3 linked regions of the Drosophila melanogaster genome follow. The gene in region 2 interacts genetically with the main gene of each other region. Each region holds a gene or a part of one and is shown on either strand. Other genes may lie near its edges.

Region 1 (11,440 bases), on a different chromosome or scaffold from region 2:
TTCCGGCATTGGCCATAACCGAAATCCACGAGCCCAAAACCAGCAAGCTCAATAATAATAAAACAAAATGCTTAGAGCGAATAAAGAAGAAGTACCAAGGACCAAGGAAGTCGCTTTTGTGGTGGCAGTCTGTTTATTTACGCCGCATTGTATGTAGAAACTTACATATGGGCGAGCCTGGAGGGCAGCGAAGAGTCCGTGGCGTCGGAGGAGCGGGAGGATCCGCAGACCAAGGGGCTTCCATACGGCGGGGCACACATCACACATGTTGTTGCGAGTACACACGTATGTTGCCTGCAAGCGATAGCGTCGCCATTTTTTTTTTTTTTTTTTTGTATTTTGGCAACCGCTCCCTTTTCCACTCGCAATCTTGGCCAGCAATCGCAGCCGGCACATATGTGCAATCATGTGCAGGGCGCCCGTTCCCCGGTCTCTTCTGCCCCCCAATCAATTTCTTGTCCCGCTCCAACAACGCTGTGGCGACTCCATTTTGCCATTTGCCATTGGCGCTTCACCGAAACCCGCCCCCTGAACATTAAGGCGCATGCTCCACTTCCATTTCCCGGGAAACTCTTTGCAGAGCTCGAATTTCGAAAGAGAGCATCAGAGTCCATAGTCGCCACATGGAGCATTCTCAAGCGCATCTGCTTAGTGTCAAATGGGAGCGCCAGCGGATGGCGGATGCTTTTTCAATCAACAAAAAGTCCAGATAAGATAGAGCTGCCAGTGCAAGCTGCACTTGTCAAACTCACATGTCCAGGAAATCCCAACAAGAAATCATGAGAGCGTTAAATTGAAACTTGGGATTTTACGCAGCTTAAGTTTTTTAGCAATTACAATAGAGATTCAACGCAGCACGTTGGCATCGTGGGGAGGGACGGGGTTGAAAATAATAAACAAAACAGGCGTTAACACTTGTCATTCGACCGACAGGAATATGTCACCTGTGCCGTCCCGGCACATCGCATCCCAGACCAAAAATGCCATCCGAAATTCAATCAGCGCACTGGACACGCATATATGTATGTACCACCCTCGTCGATAAATCTCGGTGGTCCGTTCCTAAAAAAAAAAAAACAATCTCGCATAAATTCCTATTTATGGCCCGAACATTTGAACCTTTTTGTGGCAGCCTCCTCATCCCGCTTCCTCCACACAAAACACACAATCAAAAGTCGATTAGCATTCAGGGCAGGACGAGCAGTTCCCACTCCGAATTCGGAGGAGCGAACAACAAGCTGCAAATAGGCAAGCGCAGGTAATCGCATTTCGAGTTCCAGCTACCCATTTTTCCAACCCCCTTCTCTCGTGGCTGAAAATCTGCTGAAGCACAATGAAAATATTTTGCCCTGTTCGCCAGGGGGTGGGAAATGGGCTTGGGTTACGGTGTGTGACAAGTACAAGCCACTTGTGCGTTGATGATAATATTCGAACCATTTTCGGGGGGGCACTGGGAAGTGGAAAGTGGAGCCGGGCCAGAGATATCCCTGAAATCGGCTTATGTCGCCTGTGCCATTGTGCTGACACGGCTGCAGAATTGGAGCTTTTGTCTTACTGTCCAATGGCCACTGGTGTCCTGTCGAGCGTGGGAGAGTCCTGCCCACTCAGGTGATTTATGCTGAGTTTTAATTTAAATGCAATCAATTTGAAATATGTAACCGAAAACTGGTAAAGAAAAAAATGATAAAAAAGGGCTTAAATAGTGAATCAAATTGAAAGGTACTAATATAAAAGAAAGCACGAATCCAATAATTGAAAATATGAACAGAAAATCGAACGTAAAATCACCAGATAAGATTCGACTGATTCAGAGGAAATTTCGAAGAATAAAATCTGAAAAGAATACTTTTAATAGCTTTTTCATAGCATTCGTTTATACAACGTATTAGAGTTTAGAAGCTCCCAATGAGCAGTTTCTTTAATTCCTTTCTGGTGAGTGTCATTCGTTTGAGGAAAACATTATTAGAATCATTAGCAGGAGAGCTTAGGAGCCAAATTCAATTATGTCAAACATCTAGGTGTTATCTAGATGCATTTTCCTTGGCTAATGAGCTGCGCTTACCCGCGGATCCTTATCCGGCAGCCAAGTGGCCAGGACAAAAGCCGCAGAGACGCAAATGAAATCAATTAAAATTTATCACATGCCAGTTGCTTCATTAAGACACAAAGGGAACAAGCAGCAGCGGTGTCCCCAAGGTGCAATTCGTTATCCCATCCAAGGACAATGGCGGTCAGGATGCGGCTGCCTTGTAATTTGTCCTGCCACCAACTTCCACCGGCAAACACAGGCAGACAGTTGTTGTTATCGGCTTAAGGAAGACAATAAAACGGCGTCGCCGTTTGTCGCTTTAAATAATAAAAACATTTGATTTGCCAACTCTGGCACGTGGCCAGGACTACCGAAGTCAGTGGATTTATCCCTGGACTGGCTGAGAATGCGCAAGCAAATCGCAGATAAAGCCAACGCGTAAATTAATGGTCGCCACGTGTCACTTGCTACTCCGGGACCGAATCGACTTGGCTCAGATCGCTTGGGATTGAATTGAATGGCCGGACACGCTGGGTGGTCCAAGGCCTGCTACAACTACACCATGTGTGGGAGCAGCTTATGGCCAGCAAATTATCGCCTCCTTGCGATGGCGAGTGGTGACCCCCAGTGTTTGCTTTGCGGCTGATAATTGAGGCGTAAATGTCGGCACACGTCCGGACTCCAGAGCGCCGACCGTCCGGGGCTTAAGTTGATACATTGATACATTGTTGTCATATATTCACAGTGGAGTTTATGGAGCGGATTTATATACGCAGTTTCAGCTTCGTTTACTCATTCCACCCACAAAGTGCACTTTGCCGCGTGTTTTAGGACTGCACACAATGTTGATGATAACCCTATCAAATTTTGAATGCCGACAGCAGCTATAAGGATGCAGCTCATTGTTGAGTTCGTAAAAAGTTAATAAACCCTCCAAGTATCAATGGTTGCAAACAAAAGAATGGGTTCATAAACAAAGGCGAGCTTTTGATTTTCCAGTTGACGTTGTGGTTTCAAAGCAAAAGCCACGCAAAACCTTTGACCATATGCGCTAAAAATATTGCCATATTCATGCCCTCGAAGGGTTTTTAAAATGGTATTATATATGCATGTTACATACGAGGTAATAAATCGAAATGCTCTATATTAAGATATAGAGTAAACGCCACACGAATTTTTAAAAAAATTACATCAAATACAAGTTGGGTTTTATGATTTCCTGCTAATATCAATAAAAATAACTTTTACCATTACGGAAATTGTACATGTGCTTTACTATGAGTAGTTTTAGATTATTAATGTTTTATTTATTTGAATAGCCAGCTTGTATTTATGCTTGTAACAGGACTCCATTGGAAAAATCACACAATTATTTCCATACTCCATCGAAAGGGTATCAGCGAAGAACGATTATAGCCACCCCAGTTTGAAATATTTTGCCGAATCAAAATCACACCACCAAGTCGAGGATTACCGGATGGATTTCCAGGGGACGCTTGGCATATGGCCACTTGGCAACACCGAGGAATCAGTCGAACAAAGCCCAGAGACGGGTTAACAATTGTCAAATAACCACAGGACATGCACATGAGTGCATCGCCGTTTGATTGCCAAGCATGTGTGTGTGTGCAAAAGGATAACCTAAGGTGGGATATGATGGCCAGTTGCTTTGATCCTTGATTGGACCAGGCCCACTTGGGGCGCAGCTGGTCGAGTGATTGATGGCCAAGACACAGATTCACGGATTCCGCATCAGCGATTGCTTTAATCGAGTCCCAAAGTCTGGTGGGCGGGGATCAAGCTGAGCTCCAAATTAAATGGTGTCAACTTTGCGGGGAGAATGCCATAAAAACCGATGACCATAACAGATAAAATGTTTTCTTTTTTATGTTATTGCGGCCAAGTTGCAGAGCAACCGCAAAACAATATTTAAATTTCAAAAGTTGCCAATGTTACCAGTTAAATGAAGCAGAAGCAAGATTGCTGTCGCACAGCAAGCATTTTGAATCTGCCTTTCTGCATTGAGGAGCTGGAGAGAAACCATGTATACAGAGGAATATAAATGTTCAACACTCGAAGGGATAAAATGAAAATATAGTTAGCACCCAAGGCTGACCACGCCCACCAAATCGAATTGACACTCATGGTGGACACATTTTGGAAATTGATCCCAGGGACGTGCGGCATACAACTAGCCAAGTTGCACTCATAAATCATAAATCAATAGGAGAGCAAAACGCTTCGAGCCGTTCGGCAGGAGGAAAAAAAAACCTCCCCACTTCCACATCCTACCCGGCTAATGATGTCTTAAAAAAACGATTCGGCAACTGGTCATGTGACAGCAAATGGGGGCCATCGATGTCCTCAGGTCAAACGCATTATCAAAATTGCCGTTTCAGCTGCCGAGGAGTTGCGCGCCAGCCTGGGAAATTGAATTTCCACGACCCTAAGTGGCCGGCATCGGGCAGAGTAACAATATTTTTCCAAATCGGCTTTAAGTCATGAAAAGTAATAGACAACCCCCGGTCGCCGTAAAAAGCAGATTGCGAGGCGCGTCAGCCGCACAGCCAGGAGACGATTGTGGAACACATGCTGTGCGCATATGATGACTGACGACGGTGATGATGAGACTGGGCCGCTTATCACGAGGGAACAGCCACACGCACTGGGTGCCGAAAAATGTTTCGAGCTGGCGGGCCAAGCAACATGTGAGGTCGCAGTGAGCTAAGCTCCCGAAAGAAGTTTATATCCAAATTGTTAAATTGATGGTATTCTTTCTAAATATAGGCTTGCAGTTGTTTAAAACAAAAAAAAAATTGCCCAAATAGCCCGAAATCCAAAGAGTAATCGACATATGTAATTAAATAATTATTCAAACTTACGTTAAGGTTAACTATATCATAACTACTCCAATTCGTCCGGTATCTCCGAGTCCTCAATCGTTCGCGTCGCTGGTATATACACTTTGAATGCGAACTTGGACTTGACAAAGGAGCCGGTATTGAGAACAGTGCAGCCATGTTGACTGCTGCTAAAGCTCTGACACGAATCGCCCATGACAATCAGATCCGGCAGTGGATACAACCACAGAGCAGGATCGTAGTCCCAGTGCACTGGCATGGCAATCGGATGAATGGGCACCAAATGACCCTGGCACACAATCGTTCTGGCAAAATGCTGCTCGATCTGGGACGTGTCTTCAGGAAAATGCAAGGTGTTGCGACAAAACTTGGCCATCAAATCCAGACGGCAGACCACAATCTGCTGGGTGCAGTACTGCAGGCGACACGGATTCGTAGCCAACTGGGTGCGTGGCCAGGCCTTTAGCAGCCCGGCTGCCAGGCATTCGGGAATTGGAGCACGGGGCAGAATATTAGGTGCCGTGGGATCTTCGGACGAGGGAACGAGTATCAGATCCGTTTGCTTCTTCAGCTGCTCGCAGCCAGCTGCCAAGCCACCCAATGCATCCAGGTGATGCCTCAGTTCATGATGATTCCTTGTGCTGGCCGTGAAGGGACCCATGAGCACTATAGCCTGCGGCGGACAGGAATCATAGCCCACGAACAACTGGCGCAGCTTCTCCATGACAACCGGCAGATCCAACCGAACGTCGGAAAGGAAAACAATGGTTGTTTCCGTGTTGGTACGCTCCAGTTCCTGTAGTCCGGCTGAGTACTTCAGCAGCTTAGCAGATTCACCGCCCCAAGTGTTGGCGGTGCCGAAAAATGCTCGACTGCTGTTTGCCGGTTCCGCAGGTGGAAAGCCCAGGCCATCAACTGGGGAAACATAAGAAACTCTTGAGATGTAGTTATTAAATACTTTGGGCTACTTACCCTTGAGCACACCGTTGTTATAGTTGCCCTCGGCTAAAACAAAGCAGCCCTCGCAGAAGAAGCCGGCATGGAAACGGGCTCCAGTGAGATCTAACTGGACGCAACCCGTGGGATCCTCGACATAGAACTTGCCCTCTTTAAGCTGGGTAAGTAGCCCCAAAACAACTGCCTCCTTCATCGCCGACGTGGCCAGCAGGTTCTCCGCGAACTGGAGCTTAAATTTCTTGGCCTGGGCCTCGGCCCCAACGCCATCCTGTATGACGGCTGGGGCAAAGAGATCGTGTCGCAGAGTTTTCTGTAGTAACATGGCATATCGTTGCTGCATGTAGTCCGATTTCATGCGCGGGGCGGTCAGCAACTGGCGCGGCTGAGTGTCCAGTTCGAATTTCTTTATCCGCTGGTTGTACCGAAAACGGGGCACCGTAAAGGCATCGATCAGGGCAAAGACCGTCTCCCCTTCATCCAATCCCACCCGGTTAAGTTCATTGATGGCCTTCTCCAGGGCGGCTCGCTCCACATGAGGCGTCAAAAGCTTTTGGCTTTGGAGATTCTCGGTGATCACCGTCAGCCATTTGTCCCGTTCCGCTGCGTCAAAGGGTAGCAGCTGCTCCGCCAGGTAGGAACTGTTCTCCGAGCGGATCAGGAATCCACATAGCTTGAAGGTGTTTGTTATTCGCTTTCTCAGCGGCAGTAAATCCACATCCATTGTTATTAAAAGTTTTTTCGCGCGCAAATTAGATATGGATGTTGTCAATTATCGATATCTATGTGCATTTGTGTGACCAGCCGAACATGAAGCTAAAATAGAAGGCCTAGAAAGTAATCGAAAATTGGCGGAAAAAAGTGGAGTTCAAAAAGTTGATATTTGAATGGTTTATTCAAAATAACATATATTTAACTATTTAAGGTTCAAAAAGAGGGCTTTAAAGAAGTTGGCTTTTGTTTAGTACATATTTATAATATTAAATGTCGAAATGCCCCCCAGAGATTGTGAAAAGTATGAGAACTTCTTGCTGTTCATTGGGGACTTTGGCCCCTTTCAGAAGCGACTGCTGTTTTGGATGATGCCCGCCGCCTTTCTGTTCGCATTCACCTACTTTGGTCAGATATTTATGATACTGTTGCCAAAGAATCACTGGTGCAGAGTACGAGAACTAGAGGGACTGCCGGAAAGTGAACAAAAGAATCGGGGAATCCCCAAAAAGCAAGATGGCAGTTTCGAGAATTGTTTTATGTACAATGTGCCCTACGACTCAAATGCGACCAACGATGCGAATCAGACAAGGAGCCCGATACCTTGCAACAATGGTTGGATCTATGATCGCAAGGAGGTGCCCTACGAGTCCATCGCTACCGAGTACAATTGGGTGTGCGACAAAAGGGATTTCGGGACATATAGCGTCGTTGTCTACTTTGTGGGCTGTATTGTTGGTTGCCTCTGCTTTGGATTCATAACCGATCATTCCGGTCGCTTGCCTGCACTATTTCTGGCCAACTCCTGTTCCATGATCGGCGGTTGCGTAAGTGTGGTCTGCAAGGACTTTCCCTGCTTTGCTGCCAGCCGATTTGTGGCTGGACTGTCAATGAACTACTGCTTCGTTCCCATTTATATTCTAAGTGAGTGTTGCAGAGTCAATTAACATAAATCATAAATTTAAATATCATCATCACATTCTTTTCAACAGCTTTGGAGAACGTTGGCATCAAGTATCGCACACTGGTGGGGAACTTAGCCCTCACATTCTTCTTCACCTTGGGCGCCTGCTTGCTTCCCTGGCTGGCCTATGTCATCAGTAATTGGAGGCACTATGCCATGGTCGTTGCCCTGCCAATTGTATTCATGATATTGACCAGCTTGCTGGCTCCAGAGTCACCAAGGTAAATTAATGATAACAATAGGTTTTCAAGCTATCTAAACTTCATTTCCCACTGCAGTTGGCTTATGTCGGTGGGTAAAGTGGACCGGTGTATTGAAGTCATGAAAGAAGCGGCCAAAGCCAATGGAAAAATCATTTCCGAAGAGGTTTGGTCCGAGATGCGGGAATGCTATGAACTTAAATTTGCCAACGAGCAATTGGGAAAGCAGTACACCAGTCTGGATCTCTTTAAGACATTTCCCAGGCTCGTCGTCTTAACGATTTTGATTGTCACATGGATGACTGTGGCCCTAGCATACGATGCCCATGTTCGCGTAGTCGAAATCCTGGACACAGATATATTTATAACCTTTTCCCTTTCCTCGCTCGTTGAAATTCCTGCTGGAATCGTACCAATGCTTTTGCTAGATCGAATTGGTCGCAAGCCCATGATGTCGGCTGTCATGCTATTGTGTGCAGCATCCAGTCTCTTCGTTGGTATTCTAAAAGGACATTGGAATGCATCAACGGCAGCGATTGCAGCCAGATTTTTCGCCACAATGGCCTACAATGTGGGTCAACAGTGGGCCTCTGAGATACTGCCAACCGTGCTGCGCGGTCAGGGACTGGCTATTATCAATATTATGGGTCAGATGGGTGCCCTACTCTCACCACTTGTACTCAGCACCCACCGCTACTATCGTCCCTTGCCCATGTTTATTATCACATTGGTGTCCGTGATAGGCGCTTTAATAATCTTGTTTCTGCCGGAGACCAAGGGAGCTACGATGCCACAAACGTTGGACGAGGCGGAAAAGCGCTGGACGTTACGTTGTAGAGATCGTAAAATAAACGAGGATCTTTAAAAAATTAATTTAAAAACTTATTTTGAAATGGCGCCGATAGACTGATAAGTATATAGCCAAGTTTCCCTGCAAGGTTTGAGTCTTCGGTGCGAGTTTGGTACATTTATTTAGTATTTTTTAGCCTATTCGTTAAATCTAGTGCATGGTCACAGTTGTCAGCACGTGGAATTGAATTTTGCTGTTTATACGCTAATTCCCTGAAAATGGATGTTGTTAAAGAAGTTCTGGCCAAACACCAAAAGGAATTGGACAAATACAAGCCGATCACAGTAGAAAAGCATTTGGAATGCCGACTCGACGTTGGCAGCCTGCTGATCACAGATCCCAACGATTTCGATGACCGGGAATTGAGGTAAGCGGCGGTTTCTAGCGAGGAATACTGATTTTTCACCAGTTCCATTGTTTTTAGGGACAACAAAGAGGAGTACCTGACCGCACTGACACGGGAGAACACCCAACTTTTGGTCAATGCCATTTGGGAGTTGCCCACCGAACGGGTAGACGAGAGCATTGTGGCCAAGCTGCCGGAACCCACGACGGTACTGCCCCGCCTCCGTAAGCCGCCAGGTCCACGTCCGCTCACCAAATGGGAGAAGTTCGCCAAGGAGAAGGGTATCAGCAAGAAGAAGAAGGACAAGAAGACCTACGATGAGACCATGGATGCAAGTTTTTGCTCTTTAATCTTGTCAAGTCACAATCTAAACCTTGAATCTTTATAGAAATGGGTGCCTACATATGGTTTTAAGCGTGCCGAGGCCGAGAAGGCCAAGGATTGGGTGCTGGAGGTGCCACAGAACGCCGATCCCAATACGGACATGTTCCAGAAGAAGATCGACCTGCGCAACGAGAAGGTGGCCAAGAATGAGATCCAGCGGATGAAGAACATTGTGCGCGCCAAGAAGATCGACATGCCACGCAGCGGTTACTTGGGACCCGAGGCTGCCTCATCCAGCCAGTTGTTAACGGCCGTCACTGTGGCCAAATCCTCCACAGCCTCAGTCGGCAAATTCCAAAACAAACTGCCCAAGGAGAAGGAGGCACGTGGTCTGGGCATTAAAGAGCTGATTCCCGGCGGCAAACGCAAGCAGTCGCATATCACACAAACGCCGGAGAAGGAGGCCAACCTGGATCTCATCAAGAGCGTGCTGAACAAGAAGCCCAAACTGGACGTGAGCAAGGCGGTATCGATGGAGAAGCGCGACAATCGCTTGGCGTAAGTTTAACCTTTATCGTTAAATGAGCATAGTCTAAAGCTTAAACCTTTATTTCCTCAACAGACGCGAAGCAGAGGCTGAGAATGAACCAGGCAAGAAGGGCGGCAAGAAGCCCAAGGGCAAGGGCAGTCGCAAGGCGGTGGGCAAGAAGTCCAAGGGCAATCGTGGTCAAAGGGCTCCGGGCAAGAAGGCGCAAGCCGGTCGCAAACGTCGCTAGGAAGAATTACACATGCCTTAGGACACTTTAATTAACGAAAAACACTTTACACTTATGCTTAATAAATCTTAGCCATAAGACAAAACATAAACTATGTTCGGTAAAAACGCAAATTCACTGGTGACGTGTGCCGCTTAAGGTATTGATAAACGAAATTACGGAAAACACGGTTGAAATTGCGTATGGAAGGCCAGTGCAGATTGGCGGCATTGTCCCGAGGCGTGTGCCAGACGTCTGGGAAAGGAGTGGCTACCAAATGCAGCACAGGAACATCTGTATGGAAAACGTCTGTGATTATGGATACACACTAAAGACATCAAACTTACTCTCATCTAAAAACGGTCGATGATCATCGTCGACTAGACCACCGCTGACACGACTTAAAAACATATTGTTATTGCCCTCCAGCTGGCCGGCAGTGCGCAGAGATTTCTCAATCTGCACGAGACTGGAGTGCAGTCCGTCGGTGTTTTCATAAAAACTGGAGAACTTGGGATTCCGCGCCCCAATTAGATCCAGCAGCACCAGAACTTCCTGTTATTGATACAATCTTAGCAAGCTGATAATTCTCGCAAAGGTCATTGACTTACAATTCGATCTATATTGCGTGGAGCTAGTTGCGCCTGGGAACCACTGCGTTTGCTAGCCAACTTCGCGGCCAGATGCTTTGATCCGTATACAGAGTCCGCATCGGTCCACTCCTTAAAGGCCTCCTCGCCATCGAAGAATATGAGCTGGTGGATAAGAAGGTTGGATTTTCAATAACTATAGGAAAAATTCTCTACTAGATCTTATTAACATAAATCAACTTTTTCAATGTAATACTAATGTCGTATGCCTAATTTCAAATGGAGATTTGAATACCAAACATGCAACTTGTTTTCGCTCAGGTTTGGTATAACTGGAGTTCATGGAAAATTTATTTAGCCACCAAGGTCTGTGTTAATGGGCACTAAGTAAGCAACTTACCATAAGTCCCACATCGCTGCGATTGCGAAACTCTTTCTGCAGATACGCGCCCAAGGTCTTGGCGGTGTTCAACAGAATGGCACAGGGCACGGCGGAGTCAGTGGCGCCCACAAAGCCGGGATCATTGGGGAAGTACTTGCTGTCGTAGTGGCAGGCCAGAGCGAGAAAGTTCTGAGCCTGGGGATTGATTGTGCCCACTACGTTGGCAAACGTGAGTTCGCCGAAAACTGGAACTCTCTGCTTGAACTCATCCACTTCCGTTTGGAAGCCAAGGCCGTTCAGCGATTGGACCAGGTACTCGCGCACCTGTTTGAAATGTTAATATTATAACGCCAAGTAATACACTTGAAGCTTTATCACCCACCTGCTGATGTCCCCGACTGCCAACGACGCGTGGCACCAAAATGGAGTCCAGGGTGCGGTTGAAATGGACCTCATCGTCGCGCCACTGGGATC
Region 2 (7,887 bases):
TGATTTGTCGAAGCCTGCAACGAAGTGTTTATTAATGGTGATCCGGGCAAAAATTGAATGCGATTATGCGCATACCATTTATATAGCACTTTGTGACATTGACGGCAATTAGCAAATCCTGTGAAATCGGTTTCACGTGTCTCACGGCCACATATTCCGTATTTCCAAAATCGCAGAATAGAATTTTGACCATATTGTCCTTAACCTCCTGGCAGACTCCGCGATACCAGTTCTTATCTTCGCTGTAGATCGCCAGGCACAGTTCACCAACGCTGCAATTGGGATAAAGTGCGTGTTAAGAAAAGGACAAGCAAATATCGAAAGCGCATTACTTTGGTACGTAACCCGGAACAACATTGTGGTCACATGCTCCCTGACTTGATGTCAAGCTAAGGATTTTTTCAAATTCCTTGGCCGCCTTTTCGTCCTTGAAGTAGGCGGCGGTGATGTAGCCAGTTTGCGGCAATCCGTCAGCGTTCATAAGGATTAGGTTGACCTTGTCGCCTAAAGGAGCTAGATTCTTGGGCAAAGCGTCGAAAAGGAAGCGTTTAATGGGCAGAACGTGGGAAGCTGACTTTGTACTTGTCACGTCGGCAGGAAAAGGCGACTCCGGTGGAGAGGGCGGCAGTGGAGGCAGATCCAGCAGAAGTAGAGACTGTGGAGACACCTTCTGCTGTTTGTGAGTTACAACAGGCAATTGACTCGGAGTAGAAGCAGCCTTCGGTGGTGCAACTTCTGCTTTTTCCTGTACCGGTGTAAATATAAGAGGCAACATTTGGGTCGTCAAGGAGCGCGAATCGCCGGAGCTGAACAGCAGGTCCACGGTCGATGTAGTTGCATCTACCATGTTCAATTTTAGCAGTTCTTTTTGGGCGCAGAGCTTGTGCAGCATTTGAATGGCCGCATTGTTAACTGGCACAGCTGCATCCGGAATATTGCAGACATTCTGCAACTGTACACGCATCAGACATACGGGCAAATTCTCCAGGAAGCGACAGGAGCTGCGTATTTCCGCCAACTCCACCTTTTGGGTGGCACCAGTATCAACGTTCATTACTTCGAACAATCCACTATCCTTACTCAATATCTGTAAAATTCGAAAAGTTCATAGACTTTACTGATTGAAACCCTGCAACATAAATATCGACAAACCTCGCCCCGGAAGTGACCCATCTGCTTGGAGACAACGAGCACGATGCTGCCAACGGAAACATCACTAGATTTGGTAATGGTAGCGCACTTGTACTCCAGGCGCTTGAAAATTTCCGCATACTGCTTGGCGTCTGGAGTGCTGATGTATACCTCCTTAAAGCTGACCAAGTGGGAAATGAATACGATGGAATCATGGACGATGGGTTCACGCCAGTACTTGTGGCCTAAATATGAAATCTGACCCAAGAAAGTGATCAGACGGGCCATACATATCTGCTCGCCCTTGGAATTCAAGGCGGCATTCGCCGCGCGTAACTTTTCCTTGGGCGGCTTATTATCCAGCTTAAACTTGACCGTGAGTTCTGCACCTTGAGTCTCAAGCTCCTCGGGTACGGAGTCCTCCAGCTGAGCGGCAAACACTCGACTGGGCAGGCCAAGTAGTTCGCTGGGAATACGACTCAGATCGGTGGCTATGGACACTCTACCCTCGTCCATTTCGTAAACCAAATAGGTTGGCCTCGGTTTCATGATATGATCCAATAGGAAAGCTCGCCGATAACCATTTTTAGTGCGGGTGGCCGCAAAGAAGATGGATTTCTGCTCGGGGAAGGGCAGCGTGAATGGCTGTCTTGGCTTCTCGGCTATGCGGTTGTTTAAGTCTGCGTTGACATGGCCCATCACGTTGATCTGGAGTAGGGCCAGCTGCGGTTCGTTATGCTTTGGATTTGCCTTAAAGACCCGGATGACTTTGACTTCTGGATTAAGCTGCAGCATCTCCAAGGGCAAACTTAGTGGTATTATCATCTTGGGCTTTAGATGGACGTGATAAGCTCCGTCGCTGGTTTTGGTTCCCAACATACGGAGCGTCAAGTTCTTAATGTCCTGAACTCCAGTGTTCGTGGGCAATTGAACACGGAAAGCGAACGCCTTGCTTTCGGCCATCTTGGGCACAATGGTGTAGATATCCCGAAACGGTGTAGCTACTATCTGACCGTGGTCAATCATACGGACATTGGCTTCTTGCTTCTTTTGGCAAACCGTCAAAACATGACCGCGATGGACCTTGTCGCCCACACTGATGGCCACGAGGGTGTCCTCCCGCACTCCTTCCATACGAATCATCTTCTTATTCTGCATGCAGCGCTGCATGTTGACCGTCATTCGCTCAATGGCCTCCACATTCGCCACGTGCACCACCCAAATGGGTCCATCGTTCTCCATGAAAGTCACGCGGCACTTGAAAAACTCCATGCCCGACGGCAGCAAATGTTTGCGCCAGTTTTCCGATAGATCCGGCTTGTTCGGCACAGCAACTGTGGGCTCCACACATGGGATTGGCGATTTAGTGCGAGTTTTAGCCAGAGCAACTTGGTTCTCTACGCTCTGGATTGGATTCAACGCCGGTTGAAGAGGCCGGCACTCCACCAAGGGTCTGGAAACGCATTTGTATTGTATAAGAATTAAAAACCCCTAACTTAATGCACTGCTGCGCAACGGATTTACTAATTTAACTCACGGCATAATGATGCACACCTGCCTGTGCCTCTGCCAATCCAATTTCTGGCACTTTTCATTGCAGTACGGTTCTCCACACCGCTGGCACATCAATCTGGTCGGAGTGCCACAGACGACGCATGTCTTTTCCTCCGACTTTTCCATTTCTTCAATTCAAAGTAACAACGCAAGAACGTGTGAATGAAAGAACGGCGCGTTAAAGGAAACGCAGCAAAATGGCGCTAACAGAACTTTTAGCACGCGATGAAATACAAAGTGAAAATCTATTTACGCTGGACGAGAACTTTCTATGTTTTCGTTTTGAAAAAGGTGGAATCCTTTAGAATTTAAGTGCGCGATTCACAACTCACAAACATGCGATACGTTCACTAAACGCGTTTAAATTCGAAGCTCGCTGGGCACGCGCTTCAGTGCATTGAACGAACGTGGGAAGAAAGAGAACAGGACGATATCGATATCGGTTGGTTTTCGATTTACAGCGCACTGATGGAAGTAAACTTGATCGTTAATTAAAAAAGGAAAAATAAGGCTTACGAAGTTTTTAAACTTTAATTAAAACGACACAACATATGCTAAATATTCTACATATTCCAGTTACAATCAATTTCGCCAAGCCATTTTCATGGAAGTTGAATACTCTTTGAACCTGTTTGAATATATCTGAAAACGCAAATCTACTTTGTGTTATTATTTTGCCAATATAGGCAATATTATTTGAAAATTAACCGCAAGTCCATTGACGACCGCAATTCAGAATAAGAACGTAGCGTAATTTTCCCATCTTCAAATATTGTTTTTCCTAAACTTACCGATTTTAACACTTTTTAGTTTTAAAAACGTTTGTGGTTAATCCGCAAGGAATTTGTGACAGTGAAAAAATAACCGCTTTGTACGCGCACGTGTTGCCAACAAACACTTCAGCTTTTGTCAGTGACTGGATTCTAATTTAAATTTATCGATAACGTATGCAATTCTTATTCGAACAATATAGTTATTTCTAAAAACTGTGTCACGGAATTTCTTTTTGTAATTATTACCTATATAAATATATATTTATACAAATATTTATAACATTTGTGTTTTAATTGTCATGCCCCTTTAGTTTTTTTTACGCTAGAAACTTAGCTACTTCCTAGGTCGAGAGCTGGCCACACTCTTGGCATGTCTTAGTTATCGATAATTCCCGCCACTTCTGAGCATTGAGTATATTTTGCGAACTATTTGTTTACCAATTGAATATTTTGATAATCAGGGCCCCCAGTGAAGTGGCAAGCGTCATGAGTGCCAGCAACAAAGGCGGTTACAAGACGCCGCGGAAGGAGAACCTCATGTCCATTGAGAACCTCACCAATTCGGAGGAGGAATCCGAGGACTTGAACACGGCAATGGTTGGGAATGCAGTGGAATCTCAGCCCAAGGTCACCAGTCGGCGTTCCACCCGACGTCCAAGTCCCACCAAGAAATACCAGGCGTACCAGAAGGAAAGCAATGGAAAAGGCCAGGAAGAGCGAATTGTTGTGAACTATGTGGAAATGTCCGATGAACGGAGCAGCGATGCGGAGGATCAGGAAGAAGAAGAAAGCATCGAGGAGTCGGAAAATGCTGCCCGTCCCGCTGCCAAGGATCTGCATCTCATCCAATCCGAGTACAATGTGGCCGGCACCAGCATGTTTGGCTTCAATACGCCCAAGAAACGCGATGCCATGGCACTGGCCGCCCTAAATGCCACGCCCTGCACGCCCAAGACCCCAAAAACGCCGCGTTTGGGTGTCAAGACGCCGGATACGAAGCGCAAGAAGTCCATGGATCAGCCAAAGACTCCCGCCCATGTGCGCACCCGCGTCAAGAAGCGTGGGTAGCCTTTTTCTGCGTCCTTTTACCATTTTTTCCATTATTTATAAATTCATTATCACTTTCAGAGATTGCCAAAATAGTGGCCGACTCAGATGAGGATTTTTCTGGAGATGAAAGCGATTTCCGGCCCAGTGACGAGGAATCCTCCTCCAGCAGCAGTAGCAGCGATGCTGGCAACTCCTCTGACAACGACGCCGCCGATGATGAGCCCAAAACGCCCAGTAGAGCCCGCCGTGCCATTGTAGTCCCCGTTCTGCCGAAAACTCCATCGGCAGCCCGCCTGCGACAATCGGCGAGGGCGAAAAAATCGAATGAGTTTGTGCCCGAGAGCGATGGTTACTTTCACTCGCATGCCAGCAGCAAGATCCTCACTTCGGATCACACCTTGGATCGCCTAAAGAATCCTCGCCTGGCCGCCGATCGTGTTTTCAGTTTGCTGTCGGAAATCAAGACATCGGCGGAGCATGAGGGTTCTATTAATGCCATTATGGAGGAGTATCGATCGTACTTTCCCAAGTGGATGTGTATTCTGAACGAAGGCTTCAATATACTTCTATATGGATTGGGCTCCAAGCACCAGCTGCTGCAGTCATTCCATCGGGAAGTTTTGCATAAGCAAACGGTATTGGTGGTGAATGGCTTCTTTCCCAGTCTGACCATCAAGGATATGCTGGATAGCATCACAAGCGACATATTAGATGCGGGCATTAGTCCGGCTAATCCACATGAAGCAGTGGATATGATCGAGGAGGAGTTCGCACTGATACCGGAAACACATTTGTTCTTAATCGTCCATAATCTGGATGGAGCCATGCTTCGCAATGTGAAGGCACAGGCGATTCTTTCGCGCCTGGCGCGCATACCGAACATTCATCTACTGGCCTCCATTGATCACATAAATACCCCACTGTGTGAGTGCACCGATGCTTTGAGATCTTTATAGTGCGACAGCAAAACTAATTATTGTTTACGAATTTGCAGTGTGGGACCAGGGAAAGCTGTGCAGCTTCAACTTCTCGTGGTGGGACTGCACAACAATGCTGCCATATACGAACGAAACTGCGTTCGAGAACTCGCTGCTGGTGCAGAATTCCGGCGAATTGGCCCTCTCCTCGATGCGCAGTGTCTTCTCATCGCTAACGACCAATTCGCGTGGCATTTACATGCTGATTGTTAAGTATCAATTGAAGAACAAGGGCAATGCCACATACCAGGGCATGCCGTTCAGGGATCTCTATTCGAGTTGTCGCGAAGCATTTTTGGTCAGCTCAGATCTGGCACTGCGTGCCCAGCTCACCGAGTTCCTCGACCACAAGCTGGTCAAATCGAAACGGAGCGTTGATGGCTCCGAACAGCTAACCATTCCCATTGATGGCGCACTGCTGCAGCAGTTTCTCGAGGAGCAGGAGAAGAAATAGGCCATCGGCGTAATTTTAGAACATATTAATTTATTATCTAATATTGTTAAATACAATTACAATTTCGCTTTTTAAAAATGTTGTGTTGCTGTCACTTGTATTGCCCATGATGAGTGCGCAGTGTTTGTTTTCGCTCTTTTTTATTTTTTTGTCAATTTCTACACATTAAGATTGGCATGCATAAAATTTGTCGCTTTGCTCGAAGATACACATTCTAGGATGGCTAGTTTTTTTCCTCAGCTCCAGTTGCGAGCATATAGCAACACAAAACTTCACAAAGCACTGCAAGTGCTCGACGACTGCGGGGATGAGAGCGCATTTGGATACGATTTTAAGGATCAGAAGAGGCGAACTAAACATAGCTAAGCATGCCAAAAATGATAAGACTCACTACCGCCTGACCATTCCGTGCTCCTCATCCATTCCAAAGGCTAATATCGGTTACCTATTCACTATACAGACACGCACATACACAGATTAAAGCGTTGGACTTGTAACTAGTTAATTGTGCACTCGAAACGAAATGTAATTGCTGCGACTAAGGCTAGTTTATTTACACTTTCTTGATAGCAAATCACATGCGAAGTCAATCGGAAGTACACATACAATGGGGAATCGTTCATGGCTGGCTCCTATTAATATTATTTTGAGTTTATTGCAAAATTCTACCCCTTCCTGAATACCTGAATTGTACACACCGAGTTTGCGATCAGCATTTTTGCATATAAAAATGTCTTATCTCCTGCGCCGCACATTTACTTTTTCTTTAATAGTTAGATAATTGTTATCACGTTTACTTTGCTCGTCCTTTTTTTTAAGCTTCGTTTGTGGGAATGAATGGCAGAATGTGGTTCTGAATCAATCAGAAGAGAAACCACCCAAGAGAATCTCCCCTTTTACAAAATGAATCGATGCAAGAGTGTTGTTGGTTTTTCACTTTTATCGGCTTATTATACACAAATTGCTACTGCTTGCGTTTATTTCGACAATGCTTTGTTTGTTTGTTTTTATAGTTTTGTACAACAAATTAATTACATTTTGCGCTTAACAAAGAGAAACAGGCGTCTGATATTGAAATTTAGATACTTTTAGATACTTAAGAAAAGACGAGGGGAATCGAAAAACAAAAGTTCAGGCATGAATTCAGCGATGAAAAGTAAATTAAAGTTTAGAACTCGGGTAAACAATAAATTTTTACATTCTCCTCAATTTCATGGGGGAGTTCTTCGATTTTGGTGGGTGGTGGGTGCAATTAAACCTTGAATCTGAAAATTTTTTCCGAGTTTACATATACACAATATATAAATCAACTTCATTATCATATCCGTATCATTACTCATTTACTCGTTACTCATTAGTCATACTCATCGAATATACATCACAATCAAAGTGTACGCTTTGTAATTATACGCAGTAATCGGTAATTATAATAGTAATAATAGTAATCATAATAATAATAATAATAATAGTTACGCTTTCTCAGTGAATTTCTTTATTTCTGCTTGTATTTATGCCTTCGATTTTTACTTTTAGTTTTTACTTTACTTTAAATTTAATTTATTTTACTTTCCGTTTTGTTTTTTATGCTCTTTTTTTGTTTGCATTATTTTTTAGGTTTTTTTGTTTTTGTTGTTGTTGTTTCTTCTTTAATTGCTGCTTTTGTTTCAAGTTGTGTTTTGACTTAAGATTAAAATTAATTCATAATTATTACTCGTAAACATATTAATCATAAGGTAATATTAAATCAACAAATAAAATACATTTAAAATCAAGTTTATCAAAGTGAATTAAATTACTTGAAATCGAAACAATAAACGGTACGGCTCGCTATGCTTTTGCTCCTGCATTTGCATTATCTGTCTGCGTTTAACATAATCTATTGCGTTTGTAGTATTGCCGCCGTATGCATTCTTGAGGTTCTCCGCCAATCGATCCATCAGATATCTCA
Region 3 (12,090 bases), about 15 Mb from region 2:
CACACACACACCATACACACCATGCACACCCGCGCCGAAAACACACACGTATGTGTATACGTATCCGTGTACGTACGAGTATACTGTGACACAACATGTAAGCTTGCATACATGCAATTTGAGTAACCGCATTTTATCACGTAACCCATTTGTCTTAACCACTTTGTTGCCAACTTGCAGTGTGATGCTTTGGCCAAGTGGCAGTGGCGGCACAAGAAAACCAGCAATGAGGTTGGCGTGCGGGAGGATGATGGAGGTGAGGGCAGAGGGAGTTTTGGGGCCATCGCACAGCGCAAATGCATTGCCATGTTTCAAGCTTAATCCGCATCCCTCGCAGAGACTTACACACACAAGAAATGCCGGATTTAAGCCCAACATTTACGTCAAGTGGATGTGGGTTTTTATACGCACCCCATCTCGTCCTTCGCCCATCCAGTTGGTTGTCTTTATTCCCCTCCCGTCCAGGACTCTCTATGCCCCGCCCACCACTCATTCGCTTAATTAGTACTTCCGGCTCAGTGCAGTACATTTCCTTTGTTTATTACTAGCCTCCACCCCGCGCACTAGCTAACGACAGGACATGGGTCTGGCATCATGTCTGCCAGTCGTCGCTCTTCCTTCATTTCCATTTATAGGTCAGGGGAAAAGTGTGGCATACTTATGGTGCTCGTTATTCCGAGTCGATGCCACACAGTCAGGCAGTCGAGCGATTTAAATATTAAAATAAATTATATCAACGATTGATTGTCGTATCAATCGGGATCGAAATGTCAGCAAATAGCATTAGAATCGAGGATGCAGAGCTTTGTTTGCCCATTTGGACTGAAGACAACGAAGTGAACAACAAGATGCATCTTAAGTGCACGGAGAGAAATAAGTATCATAATAAAGTGTAAACTAAATTAACTTAAGTAACAACTTAGCCTAAAGTGAGCTACTGAGAACGAGAAACACAATACTAATTGGGTCAAATTTTAAGCTCAATGAGAAATACACTAAAATCAATAACTTCGCAGACTTGCACTTTACATCCTACATCCTTCTTCTTCAGGAGCCGAGATCCTTGTGCACGAATTGCCTAATTTCAGTCGACAACCCGGCAACAATTACGCTTCATTAATTCGCAAGTGCAATTGGCTTGGCTGCGAGTCACGTCTGCAGCGCGGTCGCAATTATGCAAATAATGCCATCGAATGCCACCCGAATATTGCAAATAGATGCACAATTGTTTGGCGCAAAGAAAAAAAGAAACAAAAGCAAAAATCAAAATTGTGGGCAAAATGGGATTTGGTGGCGACTGCGGTAGACCGTGAAATGCAATAACATCAAATGGAAATAGTTTTGAACTTGCTCCGCTAACTTTGAACTTTGCTAATGAAATATTTGCACGAAATGGAATATCGTATCACAGTTATGGCTGGCTCACCTGCATTGGAATGCGACAGCAGATTGTTGAAGAATGTGCCAATTGCTGTTGCATCGCCGGATTCCACCGAATCATCCGCCGGTGGATGTTGCTGCTGCTGCTCTTTGCTGCCGGCAATTGTGATTTCGGCATCGAAATCGATGCTGTTGAAAGATTCATTGTCGATGTCACTCAAATGCTGGGATTTGTCATCGCTGCCGGCGAGCAGATTCTGCAAAGATGACTGATGCTGCGGTTTAGGCAGCCCCCCAACATCGGCATCAACATCAATCAGTTTATCGTCCTGCGATGTTGCTGCTCCGCCTGATGATGCTGCTGTTGTTGTGGGCAATTTCAATGCCGCTGACAGCGCCTGTTGTTGTTCATTTAGTTGCGACAGGGTTGTAAAGTCATCACACTCGGCACTCAGCAGCTCCATGTCGTCGTCGTCGTCATCATCATCATCATCATCATCATCATCCTCCGCCACTACGACACCATCCTCGTCCCGCTGCTGCCGGTGTCCTTGCCCCTGCTTGTCCTCATCCGAGGCAACGCATTCGCTGATGCTGCGTGCGGCATTCCTAATGTGGCAGCGCAGCTTCGTTGACTCCGGCTCTCCCCCTGGAAAATGCAAAAATGGTGTGGGCATGAGTTCGGGTATGGGTTAGCCCTACAATTTGTGTAAATATTTGTGCAGGATTCCGCTGGCGGCAAATGCAAATGCAAATTTGGCCTGACCTCGTTCCTGCATGTGCCGCCGCCTAAAAGCATGCACTAATAATTTTCATATGTGCATTGTGTGTGGGCGTCTCCATCAGCCTGTGCAATTGCTCAATTTTCTTGATTTCGGCATGGTCTGTCTGTTGGTTCCGTCCGCCCGTCCGTCCGCCTGCCCGTCTGTCTTCACGGCCCTCACTGTCCTGCCACGCCCGTCTTTTCCCCCAGTTCCTCTGATCCTCCGTCAGCATGTCACATTTCCACATGACTGCGCGCACACACTCCCAAACGCAAACCCACAAACCATCTCGACTTGCATTCTGCCTTATTTGCCATACCTTCATCAGCGACGGAACTTGGAGCCTCGGTCGGGGCATCTTCCCCAGCATTAATTCCCAGCGAGCTGTTGTCAACCTCGAGTTGCTGCTGATGCTGATGCTGCTGCTGCTCTCGACACTTCGCCTGCTGCAGTTTTGCATTTGAATTCTTTTTCATTTGCATTGCAGTGGCCCCAACCACCAGCTCATCCACATCCTCGTTCTCATCCTCATCCTCGAGCTGGTGTTGACTTGTCGCCACTTCGTAATTTTTCAATTGGAATATTTGATTCTTTAATGATTTCCTTCGCCGCAAATACTCATTGTGCTGCAGTTGTTGATTGCACAACAGTTGGCGCAAACTTTGGCCCAGACTCTGGCTACATTGGCCATCGGATGCGGCGTCCACAGCCTGGAGTATGCCGTTGATGACCTCCAGGGTGGCATTTATGATGGCGTGATTCGCGGTGTGCTGCGTGCTCAGCAGGTGCAAACAATAATCATAAATTTCAATAATTTGCCGACAGTCGGAGGTCGTCGTCTGCTGCTGTTGCTGCTTCTTGCCGGCCAAGGACTCGGAATCCTCGTGGCTATCGCCGGGGTAGCCGCGTATAAGCTGTGGCAGCAGGAGGCGCAGCAGCCCCAAGGCTCCTAGCACGCTGTTCGCTTGCTGATCCGTCAGCAGGAGCTCTGCAAGAAATAATAGGGATAAGTTAGTTAATGGAGGGAAACTTACGGCTGCTGTTGATACAAATTAAAAACGCTCTTCAAACTTTTTGCGCAGCGTGTGCTGGCAATTCCAATTAGCTCAATAAGCAATACGCGAGCATCTGATACAGATACATTTACAGATAGCAATTCCAATACCAATACAAATACCAGTACCAGATACCTTTACCCACTTTCTTTGGCGTTTGGCCGGCCAATTGCAGTTCATACTTCTTTCGTGTTCTTGGCAACTTTTCTCTCATATGTTTTGCAACAAATTGCCTCCAATTAAATTTATCTCGTTGAAAACTTTCCATCTGATATTTATAGACTCTGCACACATGCACATACTTCCCGCTACCCACCACCCAGTCCTCGACCTCCCGCAGTTCTTGCTCTTGTTGTCTCCGCTTATTTGTCGTTTCATTACGTATACGCCACCAATCACAAAACGCCATGTTGGAAGTTTGTTACTCAATTAGTTTTCATTTTCTTCCTTTGGGGCGCAAAATTGAAAACACTTTTCGCCGGAGAAACTTTTTACATGGCCCTCATGGCAGCCAAGTGACTTTGCCGAGCACAACTTGCGGCCTGTTTCCATGTGTATCAATTAATAGCGGCAGAAGCCGCAAGAACTTTCTGCAAAATTGGCGAGCCCAAAACGGAAAGAGCAGAGAATCGGGGGACTTCATGCTGGGCACGTTCGAGGACTGCAATTAATAGCCACCCGAATAGAGGTGTTTAGTTTGAGGCCTACTAACTGCAAAGTGCACAGTCAGAATCAAGTAATCCCAAAGTTTGAGAGAAAAATGTTATCAATTATTTGATTACAAATCAAACAATTTAAATAAGAATTGTTTCGATATTTTTTAACACACACAAACGAATATACAGTTGTAGCTGAATATTAATTAATTTTGCAGCTGTCATACACGTAGAAGCCCAAAATGAAGTCAAAATGAAAATAATTACTTTGACATTCTCGACCAGGTGGACAATCTGGGGGCCATGGAGTACGTTTTCAAAGAGATCAGCAGCGTTTTCAGATTATGAATTGGTCATTGTGCCATTTGTGCTGCCATACCAAGTTGCCATGGAAAATAATTTGCACTTTTTGTTTAGCTCGGCATCAGTCAGTGGGCAACATAAATTTTGCCAGCTCCCCTTTGCATCTGCCGACTTTCCTTTGCTGGCCTCGTTCGGCCGGCATTTGTTTACAACGTTGATTATCCGCTTTAAAGCTGCACAGGAATGAATATCTGATTCAATTTCGCATGAATTATTGCATGGAAGTGTCCAAGTGCATAAATTTCATTTCGTCTACGGGCGGGGAGACAAACAAACGGAGATGGCGTGGGCGAGGGCGGCTCTGCGGTCTGTGTTCTGGGGTCTGGGATCTAGGATCCCGGCTCTGAGCTCTGAGTTCTGAGGTCTGAGCACCGTACTTTGTGTCTGTTTGTTGGGGCATGCCAGAACACAGGCAGCCCAAGTACTATGATGGGTGCCCATAAAAAGAGGCGCCAGACTGTATAAGGATGCGCTGAAGAGTTGCCTGGCATTGTGCCTTTGCCGAGAAGTGGCATAAAGTTGACACAGGACTAGAAGACCGGTAGGCGGCAGGGAAAGGAGCAGAGCTAGAAACCGGAACAGGAGCTAAAGGAGTTGATTTGAAGGTAAACATTTGGACAAGAAAAGAGCAAAGGAAGAGTCAAGCCGAAGCTTAATTTATATGAACTTGGGCGAGGTCAGAATTTTGACTTCCATAAAGGTAGTCCTAGCAAATGAATTAGTTTTCCCAGTCCGGTATATCACTTCAATTGTTTGCAAATGCCAAACACCGAGCTCCTCTGAGGTTTGAACTTAATTTTTTGTTGGACAATGCAGCAGGTCATAAAAAGACGATGGCAAATGTAACGTAACTATGGTGCATTTACCTCTTCGTCGACGTTTGCCAATAATATTTTCATGAAAATTCAATAAAAAATGATTTGTGTTTGCAATTTTTAAGCATTTTCGCATGGCTCACGTTGCCATGACTTTTGTTTTTGCCGCTGCAGTTATTGCTGCAGTCCGCCAGTTAGCAAATGTTAAAATAAAAACTGCCCGCTATCGTTGCCTAAAATCAAAACAAATCTGGAAAAAATATATGTGTGTATATTCGTACATTCGATGGCTCGTCCATCGATTGCGCATGGTAACCAACAGCACTGTAGAAATATAATTTATATCAACTGTCTAGTTACTTTTATTGTGCCACGCCCCCTTTAGCGCCCACAGGCCACAGACAAACAAACCCATGGCTGTGATTGCATTCACAATTCGAGTTTGAATAAAACCAAAAACCATCTATTCCCGCGCTCGCGTAGTTCGCAGTTCGATGGCTTTACATTTTGGTAAGGTATTTTTCATGGATTTGCGGCTTTTTAGAATATTAAAAATATTTTTTAGCTGCAGAGCCAGCACGAACCTAACAATATATGTATATATATGACGATCTATGCGAGGCTTAGTATTTGGCCGTTACACGCTTTTTAAACATCTCTTTCATTATTGATGTGAATATAAAGAGCGTCCTGTTGAACACAAAGTGTCGTAGCGAAAATGCGTTAAATAACTAACAGCGATAGCAGCGAATAGTGAATACGTTTATCCAAAAGTGTACAAACAATAGAGGCTGTTATTAAGGCTGCAATATTGTTAAATTTAATGGTGTTACTCTTTGCGAAATAACAATAACAGCTGACCCTAGAGTTTTGAAACAAGTGTATCATTCTGCTGAATTTAAATTCCTTTTCTAATAGTAAATAACAGCACTCACGAACTTCTCATTTGCTATAGTTGCTAGTAAGGATGCAGTGTTCATATGGATTTTTCGTATTTCTCTCAGAAATTCATTTCCTATTTAAGCTGTCTTACCCATCACTTTGTTGACCCCATGTCTGGCCATGAGGCTCCTATTGCGTGCATTCTCAATCAGACTCATGCAGTTTTGGGCAGAGCAACGACGCTTGACGGCACAATCGGAGCTAATTTGGTCCAGAAAAGTCTGCAAAAGTCAACAAACGCTTAAACATAAAAAGAAAAGACGTTTAGGGATATTATTCTACCTCGAACAGTTTGCAGGATTCGCTATCGCTGAGACCCTGTTGTATATGGCGGCTAAAGTGCTTGACGAAGTCGCAAAGAGTCTCCTGGAGCAACGTCTCCTTGCGCTGGGAAATGGTGGTCATACATTGGAGCAATCTCACGGCATACCACTTGATGTGTTTCTCCTTTATTTGTGGAGCATAGTAGGAGAAAAGGTTTAGGCAAATCCTCAGGGATCTGTGCAGAAAGTTTTTCTTTTTTAAGATTGTTATTTTAGCTTTAATATATTTGCCTCCTTACCTCTGGTTACCATTACGCTTAATTTCACCATACAGATCCATAAGAATGCGACTGACCCGGGTTTTCTCGAGTGACCTCAGTATTTTATTTAGGTTTTCCTCGGCGCTCATCCGAACCACGGAATCCACATCCTCGCAGAACAGCAGCAGAACATTCGTGGCCGTGCCGCAGTGGGCGGCATAGTTGATGTGGCCCGCCAGCGAGGGCGACATGATGCACTCGGCAATCTGCTGAAAGCAGGTGATCTTCTGCTTTTGGCTGTGGGGGGTTCGAAATAAATTAGTTTTATTACAGGTATGTGGCATGACGTCATAGCGGATGCACTTATTGCTCAATGTTGAATGAATGTTTTGGGTGGCCTAACAAGTTGGCAGGTTCATCTTAAGGGCAATAAAACCACCGGAAATCACCTGGGCTTCATAATTTAATCAATATTGTTCCGTAATGAGCAACAAACTGTTGCCGGTCCCCTCCCCAAAACATTCAATGCAACCGAAAACAATCAAATTTCCGTTCAGTCCCACCTGCATTCCGTATTTCGCAGTTGTTCCACGAAGCCAACGAACTTGTCGTACGCACTGGACCTGGATTTGTCCATTTTCGCGTCCTTAATAACGCCTAAAATCGCTTTTTAAGCATAAACAACACAGGAAAACATTGCTCTTTTGTTATGATTTCAATCAGCTGTAACGCCAGTGTTACCAGAGCGCACAACTGCTTTTAAGCGGAACACCAGCGACCAGCCCTGGTATTCAAGTTAGCTATCGTTAAATATTTAAATTTTGAACTAACCTGCTAAATTATCTTTTTAGTTTTGGAGAAAATTAGAAGTGATAACATATTTATTAAATTCCAGCCAGTTGGTCACAATGAGTTGTTATTTCCTGCATTTAAAAGACTGTTATGGACATGCTAGAAAACAGTAACAGTGCATTGGCGCCAATGTTAAAATGAGAACATCTTTTTCAAAATGTAAGTAAACCAACAATTAAATTTAACTTTATTTATTTATTCACGCTTTATTATTATTTATACATAACTGCGTTCACATTAATATTTACTTAAATAAGAACGTTTTTCACTTGTTCGTTGTTCATTGTCTTATGTTTGTTCGTTGTGAAATATTTATGCTCTGCGCAAAATATTTCCTGAAATATATTTTTACATACTCTTTAGGGTTGCGTACATTATTGTATTTAATTATGTTTTACCTTAAAAAACTTAAACCCATACAAAAATGCTTTAAGCTACTTAATGTTAATAACAAAACCCACCATTGTTTTTGTTCGTTTTCATTGTGTTTTCTTTTTGTTTAGGCTTGCCCTACGTGTATTCGCGTGAATTATGTAGAAAAAACAATCACAGTCCATTGAAAATATATAAAATTAGTTGCGTTTGTATGTGATAAACTGCCCGTGTCGGCGTCGAGAAAAGGTCTAGTACAGAGGGTTGCAAATAATGGACATCTAGAGCAACGGATTACTGAATTCGTGACACAAAATATTTACAACATTTCATTTAGGAGTACCTAAACCTTACGCTTTAAACTACGAAAGTGCGGAACTTAGTCTAAGGAAAAACGAGTGCCGAGTGGAAAGCTAAGGAAAGCTGCGAATGTGCTTAAATAATTTATGACATTTGGGCAGATACGAAGGGAAGTGAAACTCGAAAGTGGAATTAAGAAGAAGACCCGAAGTGGGTGTAAACTAATTAGGACGACTTATCGTGTTCTAAAGTTAGGCATCTAAAAGTAGCGTAATATCTGAAGATCCTAGCCGCGTTTGGCTCGCAGCACGAGAAGCGTCAGCACCAGGAAGCCCACAATCCAGGACAGCGTGCTCACATAGCCGATGTACACATCCGACTCCAGTATCGCCCAGCCACGTGTGAGGATGGAGCGCAGCGAAGAGGTGGCTAGCGTTAGTGGCAGGCACAGTGATATGTATCTGGGGGATAAGATTTTTTAAATTTCCATTCACAACAGAGTAATACCACAAGAACTCACCTCAGCACCACGGGCATGCCCTCAATCGGCCAGATCACTCCAGACAGCAGCAGGGTGGGATAGAAGGAGCCCAGCGCCAGCTGTATGGCATTCCTCTCCAGCTCGCACACCGAGGAGATGAGGAAGCCAAAGCACATTCCACACATGCCCTGCAACAGGGTCAGCACGATGACCCAGAATAGGTCGCCGTTGTTGGTAACCCCGAACACCACCAGCATGAAGATCAACACCAGAGTGGTCTGTCCGCACATCACCACGAACTGGGTGATCACGTGCGAGAATAGAATCTCGAAGGGCGAGACGCCAGCCACCCAGGAGCGATCCAACAAGCCCTGGAATGGAAGTAAGCAAATTTTATTATAATTATTCCCAAAAGAGGATAGATTTTCTCGACTTACCTCAGTGCGCTCAATGATCAGAGCCGATGACGTCAAAGCGACAGCCAAGAAGAATACAATGCTATAAAATATGTGAAAAAAGCATTAATGACTCTCCCATTAAATGTATATCTATGAAACCTACGTCAAGATCACGCCAGGTGCCACGAAATCGGTGAACGATGGATTCATGGTGCCGTAGATGGGGTCCCTGAACTGAATGGGCACGTCGCCCAATTTCGGATTGCTGCCGCACTGGCCGAGAAGGCCCATGGCGAAGTCCCTGAAGGCCAACTGGATGTCCCGATTGAGCATGACGCCGATCTGCTGGTTGGACATGTCCAGCCAGACCTTGACCTCGGAGGAGTCGATCGTTTCGTCGTCGGAGTCACGTCCCAAATTAGCTCGGGCAATAAAGGCGTCCGTGAAGTTCTCGCTGATGTAGACCGCCCCCCAAGCTGTGCCCTTTCTCACGGCCTCTTTGGCATCGTCCAGGTCCTCATAATATGTTTTAACTACGCTCGTATTCAAATGACTCAGATAACGACATCCCAGGTTCTTGAAGTGGCATCCATCCTCCCAATAGCAGTTTTCCTGAAAATATTTTTATATTATATCATATTTTAATTGGTTAAAGTGCAAGTGATTTGATCATTAAAATGGTTAAGCTGGTCTTTAATTATAGTTGTATGATAATTAAGCTTATATTTAAGTGCTATTCAAATTGTATATTTTATGGCATCAAATGCCAATAAAATCCATCTTAAACTTTGTTACGTTTTTATAGTTGTGTAGTTTTTAACAATCTTAAAAGTGGTTTAATCAAAATATTTCACTTGGTATTCAATAGTTTGAGTTTTAACTTGAATACTAAGCTAAGACTTGGAATGTGCATAAAGTGTGTATAATGTGTGTCTTACCCTTACCGTGTCGTTCATCTCTCCGTTGACTATGGCCAGGTTAAGGCCCTGAGGATCTCGTCCGATGGCCAAGCAGAAAAGGATCACCTGCATGACGGGCAGGGCGAAGATGAAGAGCATGACGCCCACGTTGCGCCACATGCGGAGCATGTTCTTGGTGAGCAGGGCGCGAATCTTGCCCTTGGAGGTGATCTTGCACAGGTTGGAATAGCAGTCCTGGCAGCTCTCCTCATCATTGGGATTATTGTTGCGCCGGGACGGCGGCGGACTGTAGGGTTCCTGGTTGAGCTGTTGCAAGCGATAGATGTTAAGATTAACCCTAGCAATCGCAAGGATATTCCAAAACGAACCGTGTAGATGGAGCCATTGCTGTCGTTAATGAGCACCTCCTTGCTCTGGTGGAAGTTGAGGCCCACCACGCCGCCCTCCTGGCTGGAACTCGGCTTGTCCATCTTGCTGCCAAAGGCCATGGCGTGCAACGAGATGTTGTTACTACTCCCGAAAAACCAGTTCAAAACCACAAACAGATGGAGGTGGAACACAGATTGCGAGCATGCGAGTGTCGGATGGAGGAGAGTCATAGTGGAGAGTTCAGAGTGGTGATTAGAGTGGTTGCGTCGGGTTAGCCACGTGGTGCATGCCAGTCTAGATCCTTACCTGAAGTTCACGTGGGTCACATCGCCCTTTTGGCTTTGGATGCGGGACAGCTTGAGGAATACCTCCTCCAGGCTGATGCACTTGTAGATGGAGAGCAGGACGCTGGGTGACTCCTCGGCCAGCAGGTGACCCGACCGCATCAGACCGATCTGAGAATATATTTATATTATTAATATAAATATATATAAATTGAAATTCTAAATCGCTCACCGTATGCGCCTGTCGTGCCTCTTCAATATAATGTGTGGTAATAATGACCGTCTTTTGGCCCGCCTTGGTGATGTGCACCAGGTGATTCCAGATGCTCTGACGCAGCAGTGGATCCACACCCACGGTGGGTTCGTCCAGGATCAGCAATTCTGGATCGTGCATCAAGGCCACAGCGAAACTCACACGACGCTGCTGACCACCACTGAGATTCTTCACCAGTCGCTTCTCCGACGGCAGATCAAGGAAGTTGAGCAGGAACTGTAGACGTTCCAGGATCTCCTTGGTATCCATGCCGAAGATCCAGCCGAAGTACATCATGGTCTCCTGGATGGAGAACTCTCCGTACAGTGCGATCTCCTGGGGCATGTAGCCCACACGCTTTCCGGGAACACCTGATCCCCTAGTGCCGGGCTTGCCGCCCAGCACAAAGATCTCACCGGCGTCCATGTAACGACGTCCAACGATGCAGGAGAGCAGGGTGGTCTTGCCACATCCGGAGGCTCCCAGAAGACCATAGCTGGGAAAAAAGAAAAGGTATTTTAATTAAAAAGTGTTTGTTGAGAGCATATACCATACTAAACCCAAACCAAACTTGTTGTGTAAATAATTATATATTGTCTCATAAAATCTTTTTTGAACTTTTTATTTTGGAAAGCAGACGTTACTTATTAGCATTTTTAGTTTTTCTTGAATGTCACTTTTTTATACGCTTTTTGACCATTAAACGGGGTCACAAAAGGTCAAGAAGCCAACCGTGACAGAGAGGTAAAGAGATTAAATGAAAAGCAAGCAGAAAGAGGGAAAAACATTTAGCCAACTCAGCACGAAAACTGTCGCCACCGTAAACAAGCCTATATATGTAACTGGATAGATATATATATACATATATACGATCGTGGCATGTCGGCGGCGATGTCAATGCTAATTCCATCAGTTCAAGTTGAATTATTTCCAAATGTTCACCTTGAAATGTAAGAAATGCCCGCAGCTATCACAAAATGCGACTCCGCCCCGTTTTTGTGCTTTTGGGGAGGGGTTAGTCCCCATTATTATTATCGCCATCATCATCATGATGAACTTGGTGGCTGGAATTATTGTGATTATCGCATTGTTAGTTTGTCGTCTGTTTTCGTTTGGTCTTCGGCCTTTGAAAAAAAAAAATATTGCAGCTCGTAGGTCGCACGTTTTGGCCTCTTATTGAATCTATTATTATAATTAGCGTGCTGAGCCATTTAGCGAATTAAACCAGACAAAATCTGATAATATAGCCCCTGGGGATAGGAGTGTCTGTCTGTCTGTGTGGTAGTTGGCCAGCCTTTAATCGACTTCAATCGCTAATGCACTGACTTTGACAGCCGAAAAGCAGTTCGTTGACTCGTTCAAA

The links.
Region 1: of Orc2 (region 2) and PolE2, changing one enhances a phenotype caused by changing the other (phenotypic enhancement), as found in Drosophila melanogaster (one study listed by BioGRID).
Region 3: of Orc2 (region 2) and htt, changing one suppresses a phenotype caused by changing the other (phenotypic suppression), as found in Drosophila melanogaster (one study listed by BioGRID).

What each region holds. Positions count from the first base shown.
Region 1 is NT_037436.4:5,890,812-5,902,251, forward strand, and holds PolE2 (DNA polymerase epsilon subunit 2), read right to left. Parts: upstream 6,625-11,440; 5' UTR 6,569-6,624; coding exon 5,863-6,568; intron 5,806-5,862; coding exon 4,934-5,805; 3' UTR 4,880-4,933; downstream 1-4,879. Other genes in the region: CG5592 (uncharacterized protein), read left to right, coding at 6,837-7,479, 7,548-7,740, 7,798-8,584; CG32409 (uncharacterized protein), read left to right, coding at 8,788-8,936, 8,994-9,246, 9,304-9,797, 9,862-10,015; QC (glutaminyl cyclase), read right to left, coding at 10,107-10,288, 10,342-10,549, 10,606-10,749, 10,985-11,290, 11,349-11,440. UniProt on the Drosophila melanogaster protein: Accessory component of the DNA polymerase epsilon complex. Participates in DNA repair and in chromosomal DNA replication. Has a role in the entrance and progression through S phase. Has a role in endoreplication. Essential for viability and tissue development.
Region 2 is NT_033777.3:13,961,064-13,968,950, forward strand, and holds Orc2 (origin recognition complex subunit 2), read left to right. Parts: upstream 1-3,821; 5' UTR 3,822-3,870; intron 3,871-3,928; 5' UTR 3,929-3,944; coding exon 3,945-4,518; intron 4,519-4,586; coding exon 4,587-5,432; intron 5,433-5,502; coding exon 5,503-5,939; 3' UTR 5,940-6,012; downstream 6,013-7,887. Other genes in the region: Kots (kotsubu), read right to left, coding at 1-14, 76-272, 333-1,087, 1,153-2,584, 2,669-2,811. UniProt on the Drosophila melanogaster protein: Component of the origin recognition complex (ORC) that binds origins of replication. DNA-binding is ATP-dependent, however specific DNA sequences that define origins of replication have not been identified so far.
Region 3 is NT_033777.3:28,691,377-28,703,466, reverse strand, and holds the start of htt (huntingtin), read right to left. Parts: upstream 7,226-12,090; 5' UTR 7,136-7,225; coding exon 7,062-7,135; intron 6,796-7,061; coding exon 6,538-6,795; intron 6,475-6,537; coding exon 6,258-6,474; intron 6,197-6,257; coding exon 6,067-6,196; intron 3,133-6,066; coding exon 2,464-3,132; intron 2,030-2,463; coding exon 1,427-2,029; intron 1-1,426. Other genes in the region: snu (snustorr), read right to left, coding at 8,309-8,483, 8,543-8,874, 8,941-9,001, 9,065-9,513, 9,840-10,127, 10,190-10,331, 10,497-10,645, 10,707-11,223.